2 linked regions of the Schizosaccharomyces pombe genome follow. Changing the gene in region 1 together with any one later gene gives a genetic interaction. Each region holds a gene or a part of one and is shown on either strand. Other genes may lie near its edges.

The links.
Region 2: of SPOM_SPBC16H5.12C (region 1) and gad8, changing one suppresses a phenotype caused by changing the other (phenotypic suppression), as found in Schizosaccharomyces pombe (one study listed by BioGRID).

The regions. Positions count from the first base shown.
Region 1 is NC_003423.3:2,271,992-2,277,732, reverse strand, and holds SPOM_SPBC16H5.12C (uncharacterized protein), read right to left. Parts: upstream 3,707-5,741; 5' UTR 3,661-3,706; coding exon 3,649-3,660; intron 3,595-3,648; coding exon 3,432-3,594; exon of another isoform or gene 3,124-3,431; coding exon 3,012-3,123; exon of another isoform or gene 2,953-3,011; coding exon 1,026-2,952; 3' UTR 738-1,025; downstream 1-737. Other genes in the region: protein arginine N-methyltransferase Skb1, read right to left, coding at 1-219, 269-458; wdr7 (WDR7-like protein), read left to right, coding at 4,957-5,222, 5,303-5,741.
Region 2 is NC_003421.2:910,434-915,962, forward strand, and holds gad8 (serine/threonine protein kinase (AGC family) Gad8), read left to right. Parts: upstream 1-2,066; 5' UTR 2,067-2,683; coding exon 2,684-2,705; intron 2,706-2,776; coding exon 2,777-4,464; 3' UTR 4,465-4,805; downstream 4,806-5,529. Other genes in the region: SPOM_SPCC24B10.06 (uncharacterized protein), read left to right, coding at 77-200, 415-565, 631-826; SAGA complex subunit Ada2, read right to left, coding at 4,949-5,529. UniProt on the Schizosaccharomyces pombe protein: Involved in a signaling module for sexual development and cell growth under stressed conditions. Required for G1 arrest under nitrogen starvation and for growth at high temperature and osmolarity.

The sequences.
Region 1 (5,741 bases):
GATTCATTGTTGAGTTTAAAGCAGAAGATACAGCTCTCGCATAACGCATAACGTTCATTGGTGAAGTTGGACCATTTAGGATGATTGAAGATAACCCACAATAAGAAGCATATGATGCTTCCTTTAATAACACTTCTTCTGATCGATCAGCGATTAGTGTGTCTTCAGAATCTAACTCCAGCCAAGCTGAGGATAAACCGACCACCTTGTGCACATTTTCTATAGTAAAATTGGTTAATATAAATTTTCTTTCAAATTTGAAACATACCCTCAGGGTGATAAGCTACTTCATCGTCGAGGAATTCCTGCAAACGCTCTGACGGAGCTAGAGCTTCAACTCGTAGCTTTAAACCTTCACCACTTAACGGAACTCCAACAAACTCAAAACCCTCTTCCAAAGACAAGGAAATGGTCCCCTCTGAACAAACTATTCCTAGAGTGGGCGTTTTAGAATTCATCGGCGGAACTGGCAATGGGTAAATACTGTACTGTGGAATACGGCCATCCCGCAATAACATACGGTAAGGGTTGGGACCTTGTGTTGCAAAAACAAAAAAAAATTGTTTAGTTGAGTAGCTAGCTTATTGTTTGTGAGTGTTTTAAATTTCAACTTGGTTATTTAATTAATGAATTTGATCTATTAAAACTTACATCTTTTCTAAGAAGAAAAGGCTAATAACTGCTATTCTAGCATAAAGTAATTAATTATTTTTACTATATAGTTTTCTGCGAATCAATCTTGTCAAAAATCACTTTATTATTTCTAAACAAAGTCGATATGAAAGAAAGTAAAGTAAGCACCCTTTTGTCAATGACAACCGAATTCGAAAAAGATATCTTAAAAGAGTCATATCAGTTATTTTGGCTTCGCAGTTATTGAGGTAAATGAGTGCGTCAGATAAATTTCATGAAAACTTCATCATTCATGAGGTAAACTTTTGCATTAACATCAGTAAAAAGGTGAAAAGATGGTATAAAAATCAGTTCTAAAACAGCATTGAAAACAGTGCAAAAAATATTCATCATTAACCATGGGTAGTAGGTTCAGCGCTTTGTTTATTGACACTTCCACCGCTTTGTAATGGACGAGGATGCTGCATTCTGTTCATTCGGCCGCCTCGTCCACGTCCACGATTGGTACGCATTCCAGTTCCATGTCCCTCCATCCGGTTATTTCGATACCATCCTCTATTTTGACGATAGTACGAATCATCACGCATGATATTCACCCGCACACCTTCTGGAACTTTGATGCTTCCAAGGGCCTTTGAAACAGCATTCTGGTTTTCAACAAATACATATGCATAGTTAGTGGGGTTTACGTTTTGAGGAGCTTGGGGACTTTTGTAACGATTGAGTGAAGTACGAATTTGAATATTCGTAATCAGGCTGTCTGTCCCGTCCTTAAAGTAAGAACGGGCTTCCTCTTCAGAATTGCAAGGGGTAATATGAAATCCACAACGTTCATAACGCTGCTCACCACTATATTGACGGAATTCACGATCGTTGCCCTTCTGCATATCAGTTCTTCTACCTTCTTGTGCTTGAGATCTTGTAACATTTGCAGCATTCTCTTGTTCAAGTATGGTAACCTCTGTAGTCGTCTCACCTAGCTCGAGATTTCCAGTACCCTTAGTCACCTCTTCAACGTCAACTTCCTCTTTCCCTCCAATTGCTGGTTGTTCTTCTTCATTAGGACTAGGCTTCTCTGCTACGCCAGAAATGGGTTCTTCCTCGGCAGCAGGTGGTCCCGACTTCTCTTCGATTACTTCATGAGTCTCAGCCGACTCTTCTGTAGTATTCGCTCTTGACATTCCTAGCTCATCAGTATGTTCCTGATCGTACCCTTCAATCTGTTCTTCTTCGGTTGGTGTAGCCGTAGCTTCTCTGTTCTTGGTAAACTGTGCTTGAGATTCCACCAACCTATTGTTAGCGTAATAATAGGTACCGGTATTTTCCGAAGTTGAGCGTGGAATGTGAGATGCATAATTTTCGTTACGACGTGAAGCCATGCGACGATAGCCTAAATTAAAGCCATGAGATTTGCTTTCCACTTGAACATGCCCATTTTCGACGACAAAAACAGTCCATCCAAAGGAAGCATCTAATAAATTGAAGTTCCATAGGTTTTTAAAAGCAGTGCCGGGAAGCATGTTATTCATAGCATATGAGTTAGTTGCATCGGGCATGCGAGAGACTAGGCGAACAACATTGTTTATTAGATGATGTTGTTCAGGGGTAACCATCTTCTCAACCTCAGCCTTAACAGTGTCATACACTTCCATAAACTGTGCACGGGCAGCCGAAAGTTTTTGAAGATAATGTTCAGGACTATGATTTACGCAAAACTCATTGTAGCTAGCTCCATAACGAAAATGAAGACCGGCGGATAAAGTCAGGTCAGCCTGGCAAGCAGTAGCTAATTGAGAAAGAACACCTTCTCTTCCAATGGGATGATGCGTAATAAAAATACGTGCCTCCTCTCTGTCAAGCAGGCTCTTAGCGGTTTCTATTAGTTCACCCATTTGAAGGATTGTAGTCCACATAGTACCCTGGCCACCAGCAATAGTTCCTTTACCGTCTCCATTGTCAAAAAGCTTAAAAGGGACATAAGGACCTCCAAGACCAAGTAAACGGATTTTCATATCTCCAATTTGCAATAGGTAGGAATGAAGTTCGTCCACTATGTTAAGGTTTGGAATAGAATATTCTCCAGAACGAAATTTTTCCAAAACGTGCACATCTTCGCAAGCTCCCCATACTACATATACAGGGACTGAGAATTTCTTCTCTTGTGACAAAAATTGAGGTAATTCTGAAAGCAGGCAATCGGGGTGAGAAGCAATACTATTCTTCAAATCCCCAATTGGATTCGAGGGATAATAATCAAAGTTTTTGGACCTAGGAAGCTTTTTTATGAGAGGCGAGAATTGGACAATGTGACGAAGAGTACTGAAAAAAGGTTAGAACAAAGAAAAATGAAACATAAAAATTTTTGACACAAAACATACCGTTCAGATATGCTAGGAAGTGAGGATCGCTCAAAAAATCCAAAGTCACCAGTGTGGATGACACAGGAGGCATTGGTTTCCTCAACCAGGCTATTTATTAAACTCAGTTCACCTGAAGGGATAGTTATTAGTAAAAACGCGTATTAAAGAGTAGTAATTTTAAGGATAGGAATAGCTAAGGAGAATAAAGTGTATGGACAAAATTCTTTTACGAACCAACGAGGATCTTTAATGACAAAATGAGTAAATTGAGCAATTGCGCTTCAACTCCTGCTAAGCCATTATGGATAAGTTCATGCAAAAGCATACAAATTCGCATCTTCTTATCTTAAAAAGTAAAACGATCGTCGATAATTCCCCCGATGGGGTGCTTTTGAATTCTCGCTGGCAGCTCTAAATCCATAAACAACGCATACTTACCTCGAACATCGGCAATACATAAGATCCTGGATTTATTATCCAATGTGAGTACTTGAGCTGAAACATCCAACGTGGAATTATTCTCGGAATCTGAGTACGTTTTAGAGGATTTATTTTCCAGCGTCCCAGTTGAAGGTTCCGCTTGAATATCACTTTTAGCCGTCTTTTATGTAATTAGTTTAAAATTTTTGCAAAGATTCATTAGATCTATACTTACATCCACGCTCATTATATCGTAAAAATCTAATGAAACGGATAAAACAGTAAATGGTGTTGAGTAAGGGTTTTGTGATGATGCCTCAGTTTCGGCACTGTACTACTTCCTACTACAATAAGAGAATGTTGCTTCGTAATGTTATAACTTAGATCCACCACAAACGAAGTAAAGTAAATTAAATATATAAATACACAAAAAGCAGCAGTTAATAGATAGTTTTTGAAATTTTTAACGTGACAATTGTATTTCTGTAGTATAAAACTCCACAAAAAATAAAAATAAAAATAAAATTTAGTATATATTAATATATATATTTATATATAAATATGAAAAAAAAAGGTGCTTCAATGAAGGATTACAAAATTCTTGAGAAAGCTCGGTAATCGGGACGGCAGAGTTTATTAGGGTATATGTTAAATGTTGCAGCTTTGGAATGGAATTGTTAACTTATTTTACACATACTATGACTTAAGTTTGCCTCGTGTACAGTAGATGATGCTACAGTCTGAAGTATATTTCAATTTCGTTATATCGTTTTTCCAGGTTGAGATTTGAATACTAGTTGCAGTGCGAAATTTACAACATTTGAAGTATGTAAATGTTCTGTTTATTTGGCAAATTGAATAAAATAAGACTGTTAGCAATTTTTTCGGTTTTTTTCTATGTACAACAATACTCTTTTGTGTTATTAAATAATGCTCGTTTACTATAACTTAAACTCGTTTGTACGCTGTATTCTTACTACTAAGTATTGTCAAGATTTGGAAGCAAGGGCATCGCCCCATCAACTAGGTCATATAGTATTCGCGTGCTTCAAGTAGCACAGCAGCACATTCCCACCACCGAGTGGAATTCGAAGTTGTGTGCAGTGGTATAAATTTTGGAGAAGTGTAAGTTGTATATAATTCAAGAATGAAGAGATTTATGTAATGATTGATACAATCGGAGCTGTCGATGCATACATTCTATTAAATGACGGATGGACGAATTGTTTACATGGCTATTTGTTAGACATTCTTGTCTATGGCTGTTGCAAGTTCTTCATTTTTCTTAGATTCTCTTCCTCAAATACTTGTTGCATCTTGTTTATTCGTTTGCGTTCCGAATTTGCTAATTTTACATTCAAGAATATCGCGGCAACTGTTAGTCTGCCTAAATATTGTTTTAATTTCATTTTCTGCGTTTTCAATTACTTTTATATTTAAAAAGGTTTAACAATTACTGAATTGAGTGGTTATTTGGGAAGCCGTGTTCGAACAGCGTTCAAAATTGATGTCAGCCTTAGACCGTTGTTGATTGCGAATCAAAATGGATTGGGTTGCATTGTCGAAAAGCTGTAAAACTCATTTGTTAGATGAAGGCCTTGACGTGTCTTCAATACATTGTTTTGATCAGTATTTGATAGTAGGCCAATGTTCCGGCCAAGTCATGGTATTTGACGTTTCTACAGACAATCATTTCACTTTGATCCAAACATTTATAGCACACAAACATTCCGTTTCTTCTATAGTTTGCCTTCCATTTGAAGCTGATGGAATTGTAGACCTATCAATCATTACACTCGACGAATCTGGGTATGTTGAGCAACTCTCATTAGCCGAGCAGCAATTATCAAATTCATTATTTAACTTATTTCTTGCTAACATTTTCTCAGATTACTTTGTCAATGGCTACTGAAAACATGTGACCGACGAGCTACTTTGCAATTGTGTGACGGGCTATGTTTAAAGCTATTTAGATTAAATAACAACTTTCTTGCTGTTACCGGAACCTTTTTGAAAATATATCTCATTAGAATCTCCAACTTTCAGATAGTTGCGACTTGGACTGGTCATGAGGACTGGCCTATTTTGTTTCCGTTCAAAGACGAAGCTTTATTAATCCCTGTCGCCTATTCAGATGGATCTGTATCTCTTTGGTCAGTTGATTGGTCAGCTCTTACTTTTAAAAGAAATTCAGTTACAAAAGCAGATGTTAAACCAACTTTTGGTAAGGTTATTGATGTTGTACCAGCAGATTGCATTTCTTCCAATTATGCGCTATATGTATACTCGGATGCGGTAGTACTATTGGAATCGCATGAGAAATTTATA
Region 2 (5,529 bases), on another chromosome or scaffold:
CTGCTAATTGATAAACCATTCCCTTCTTCTTTATTTATCTAGTGCTTAAAAGCTGTACTTCTTATCCATTTGCAAAATGTTTGGAAAAGTTTCATCGCTTTTGGTTTTTGCTTCATTCTTGATCATTCAGGGTGCTTTCGCTACTTTGGTGGCTCCCATTGGAGATCTCGAGCATTTATCTGAAATTGAATTGCTCTACAGTAAGTACATTGAGGCTATGTAAAAAGTTTGCTGTCCATCCAACTCGTGCACTTAATGTTGTATAATGTCGTAGACCGAGTTTTTGTCATTTAATCATTGTTTAAATATTTTAATATTTAAACTTTGGTATTCTTTTTACATCCCTTCTCTATTCTCTATGTCTCTGTCTTTATATTTTGTGACTATGTGAAATAGCTAACTCAGTATATTTAGCTAATCGTGTTTTGCCCTCAAAAATTCCTTTGACCCCATTTGTTAAGAGGGATGATGATTCTAGTTCAACTCAGGCAAGTTACTCTACTACTGTGAGCGATGTTGTGATTGTCACCGACAAATCTTGGTCGGATGGTGTAGAAACCATTTTGTAAGTCATGCTTGTCATTTTATGGAAACTATTTGTTTGTGTAAAATTACTAATATTATTTTTAGTCCTTATAGTTACACCGAATATCAACCATCTACTACTTACACTTCTGCACCTGCCGGATCCATTGGATACGCAGCATCCATTCCCAATACAGGGCGCGAATTGATGGAGAGTGGGTCCCCTGTCCGGTTTTCCAAGAGTTCATTATTGATTGTTTCACTCTTGAGCATTGCTGCTTTTGCCGCTTTAGTCCTTTAAAAATTCAACCGGAACCTACCCCCTAACATTCACCTGAAAATTTCTCTTTAGGGATTTTCTAAACTTAGATATAGTTTTTGATTCTACTTTACTCTTTTAAAATTTTTGTTGCTACTTACACTGTCAATTCTATATCTGCGCTCGATAACCGGTTTCTTTTTTTAGGCGCTTTGGCAAACTCGTCTCATCCCTTTAAATAAAACACACAAAGGGAGCTCTCTGTGAGAAAATTCAAAACTCTGAAGAAACATCGCTTTTACTAGTGAGGAGCCTTCTAGAAGTAACTACGAAAAGAATTTGCTTTTCTCATGGGTAAGTAAGGGTTTGCCTACAGTTGAGTGAGTCATCAGTTTCAACAAATTTCGTTCTTTTCATAAATTCATTGTTCATGTTTTATTTCTGTTTTATATGTTATTTTATTTTATTTTATTTGAAAATGTTTTTTGTTTTTCAGTTCTCTTTGGATTTATATACACTTTGAAGGACTTGTACGAAGCGTCCAGTGTATTAAAAGTAGAGCATTGGTATACAAATTGCTTTTCCGTTAAATTGCTTTATCTTTTTTTTTCGCTTGTTGCACAAGGAACTGAAATTTTACAAAACGCATCGTACTTGGAAGTTGCAAAAATCTGATGGAAGGCATAAATAAATGACTTGTTTTGTAAAGAGGATATTGCAATCCTAACGGTGGTATTTACATGCTTCTATAATTATTTTAAAACAAATAAAGTTAATTGGTCTGCTAAGCTACACATACGCGTAAACGGCATTTTGCGTTTGTCCGCAGATAATTGTCAAGATAATTATTTGTATTGTTTTGCTATATACTTCGTTTTGTAAATTGATCCATTTGAGTGCTGTTTCTTGACACGTGTAGTATAAATCCTATGTTTCAATTTAGGTCACTACAAACTTGAGCAAGTTACCACTTACAAGAGTACACCAGCACTTTTAATTTCTCTATATTAATATTCCATCTTTTTGACATTACTAAGTTAACTAATTTAATAGCTGATATGTAAAACACCATTGCAAAGAACTTTTATATATAGTGCAATCGTACGAGAAAAGGGTCTATAATTTTTGATCATTATACGACAAACCTGCGTAATGTGCCGACCGTATCGGTAGCTCTCCTTATAATATTTTATCGAACTCACGTTGTTCTGCCGCAAAAAGCTGCTGTCTTGTACCACTTGTATTTTAGGAATACGGATGATCCGAGCTGGCCACATCTACTGACTGCCAATACGACCTAACAAAGGGAATATCAAACGAAAGCATTTTTGACATCAAATTTTATTTCATTGACTTTAACGTATTTAGTGCTGTCGATTGGTTTCAATTTCGTCAAAATTTCCGCGAGGTGAAGGCGACTTTGCTCAAAGTCGTAATACCAAAATCGGCTTAGAAATCGACTTTATCAACGAAGCATTCCTTTAGTAGGGATTTTGGAATAAAAGAGATTGCGATTTATTTTGAATTTTAAAATCAACACCCTTGCTTACTACTTATCGGGATTAGATTTCTTTGACGAATTTACTACTATACTGACATTACCAAACGCCTGTATCCCCTTTCGTTTATTCAAAAAAAATTGCAACTTGTGCTTACTTTTTATTTTATTTTTTTTTTGGATTTGATTTGATTGTTCGTTCGTATTCGCTTACTGGTACACTTCCCGTTTTTGTCTTCGAATTAGTCCATAAATACGTTTTTTGTTAGATTGAAGCTTTTTTGCAGCCTCGTTACCTTATTCTTTATCATTTTCGTTATATTAAAAGAAAAGATAGAGGGAAAGCGAGCTTTTAAAAATCAGTTCATTTTTTTTTTCTACTCCAAACAGACGTTACCGAAATGTCCTGGAAACTTACAAAGAGTATGTATTCCATAATACGGGTTATCACACTCTGTCTTTCTTTTTCATACTAACAGCTTTTCGCTTTTTAGAATTAAAAGAAACTCATCTAGCATCCGCTATTGGCCTGAACTCTGGCGGCTCTAGTTTTACTAGAGGTCTGAAAAACAGTACTTTATCCTCTACTTCTTCTCGTAAATCAAGTGATGAAAAATCTCGGAAAAGCTCGGAGGATAAACGGTCTCCCCAAAGTACCGTCGTGCAGCCTGGTTTATTGCAGGTCACAATTATAGAAGCTAGAAATTTAAAATTACCGTCGGGACATGTTCCTGCCAACTACGGGGTTTCCATTGACAATTCTTTACTTGCCCCTCCACTTAGTAATGGCTCGGGACACGCAAGGTCTCGTAGTCATGCTTGGTGGTTACCTTATATCGTCGTTGAATTCGACAAAAATGAAATCTTAGTAGATGCTCTAAATACTGCAAGCCTTGAAAATCCTTGCTGGGATTATCAGGCAACTTTTGACGTTTCCCGTTATTCCAAACTCTCCCTGAATATTTACCTTCGTTCTTCATCCAGCCGCTCGCGCAACGGTATGGGGAATGACGCTTTCCTAGGCGGGATTAAACTGTCGCCTTCTTTCATTGTAAACAAGCTTACAGACGAATGGGTACCCCTGCATGGGGGTAGCGGTGAACTTCGTGTTCAAATGCTTTACAAACCCAATCAAAGTACCCCTTTAACCATTGATGCATTTGAACTATTGAAAGTGGTTGGCAAAGGCTCTTTTGGAAAAGTCATGCAAGTGCGTAAGCGTGACACTTCTCGTATCTATGCTTTAAAAACTATGAAAAAAGCCCACATTGTATCTCGCAGTGAAGTAGATCACACATTGGCTGAGAGGACAGTACTTGCTCAAGTTAATAACCCTTTTATTGTTCCATTAAAGTTCTCCTTTCAATCTCCCGGTAAGCTGTATCTTGTCCTGGCCTTTGTTAACGGTGGTGAGTTATTTCATCACTTACAAAGAGAAGGCTGTTTTGATACATATCGTGCCAAATTTTACATTGCTGAACTACTTGTTGCTTTGGAATGTTTGCATGAGTTCAACGTTATTTATCGAGACTTAAAACCGGAAAACATATTATTAGACTACACCGGTCATATTGCTTTGTGTGATTTTGGACTTTGTAAGCTAAACATGGCTAAAACCGATAGAACGAATACTTTTTGTGGCACCCCTGAATACCTCGCTCCTGAATTGCTTTTGGGTCATGGTTATACAAAAGTTGTTGACTGGTGGACTTTAGGTGTGCTACTTTACGAAATGATTACAGGACTTCCTCCTTTTTATGATGAAAATATAAACGAAATGTACCGAAAAATTCTTCAAGATCCCTTGCGATTCCCAGACAACATTGACGAGAAAGCAAAAGATTTATTGAGTGGATTGTTGACCCGCGCTCCAGAGAAGCGGCTGGGTAGTGGAGGGGCGCAAGAAATAAAAAATCACCCTTTCTTTGATGATATCGACTGGAAAAAGTTATGCGCCAAGAAGATACAGCCACCCTTTAAACCAAGCGTTGAATCAGCTATCGATACTAGTAATTTTGATTCTGAATTTACATCGGAAATCCCAATGGATAGTGTTGTTGCCGATTCTCACTTATCTGAAACCGTTCAACAAAGGTTTGCCAATTGGAGCTATCAACGACCAACAACCATTGATACATCCGACGACATTAATACAATAGCACCTGGAAGTGTCATTAGGTGATGAATTTGACACTTCTTTGTTTATTTTGAAAGTTTTCTCATTTTTACTCATACATGCCGCTTTTCTTGCCTCTTTTACATATTTGTATGTTATAAAGGCCAAAGCTTCGTTCATTTCTCATTATTGTCATCTTTTTTTGTCGTACAAGATCATTTTCTATTACTATTATTATTATCATTATTATTATTATTATTACTGACAACCTCAAGTCTTTGAAGATTATTTATTTTTTGTCAGCTGAGAAAAAGTCTCAGATATTGTTGGATGTAGTGTTTTTTGTTCTTGTAGTTTCCGAAATTACTAGTGTAGAAAATTGATGGAAAACTCTTTTTAATTATTAAGCATAAGAACGTAACGGCTATTGAAAAGGGAAAAAAAGACGGAGATGTAATTAAAGGTGAAGGGGTAATTAGTAAAATTACATTTCAAAACGTAAAGGTAATAAACAAGAGTAATATGAAAAAGGTAAAAGAAACCAGTACTTTTAGGTTGGAGCGCCAATCCACCGAGCATTATGGAAGAAGTCGTACACCTGTTCGACTTTATTAGCGTCTAAGTGTTTAAATAAATTAACTGCATCGGTTTTTTGAAATGGTTTTTTGGAAGTCAGTGAAGCCGATATTAAGGCAAATTTTAGAGCCAAAAATGGTTTAGGGAAAATCTGCAGTTTTGAGCAAAGCGCTTGCTCATCCTCTGAAAGCAGTTGCCGATCAGCGGAAGCAGAAAACATTGTGGGAGTCGCTGGTTTTCGAGGAACAATCTTTTGAATGTCACGAACTTGAAAAGGAGCGGAAGTGGTTTGGTTAAACGACTTAACATGCCTCAATTGCTTATCATATGAAGCAGAAGCTTTACTTAAGAGGAATTTTTGCGTTTTATCGCGTTCATATTTATGTCCTTGTTCGAGTGTAGTAAGACCCATCTGTCGCCATTCCTGTAAATCAGAAATTTGTTTTTTTAGGGTTATTTGCTCGTGATAGCTGTTCACGAACTTTTGGTAATCAGGGCCCGTCAAAAGTCGAGCAAATGCTTTTGTTTTATTAAGTAAGTTTCGTTCCTCTTTTG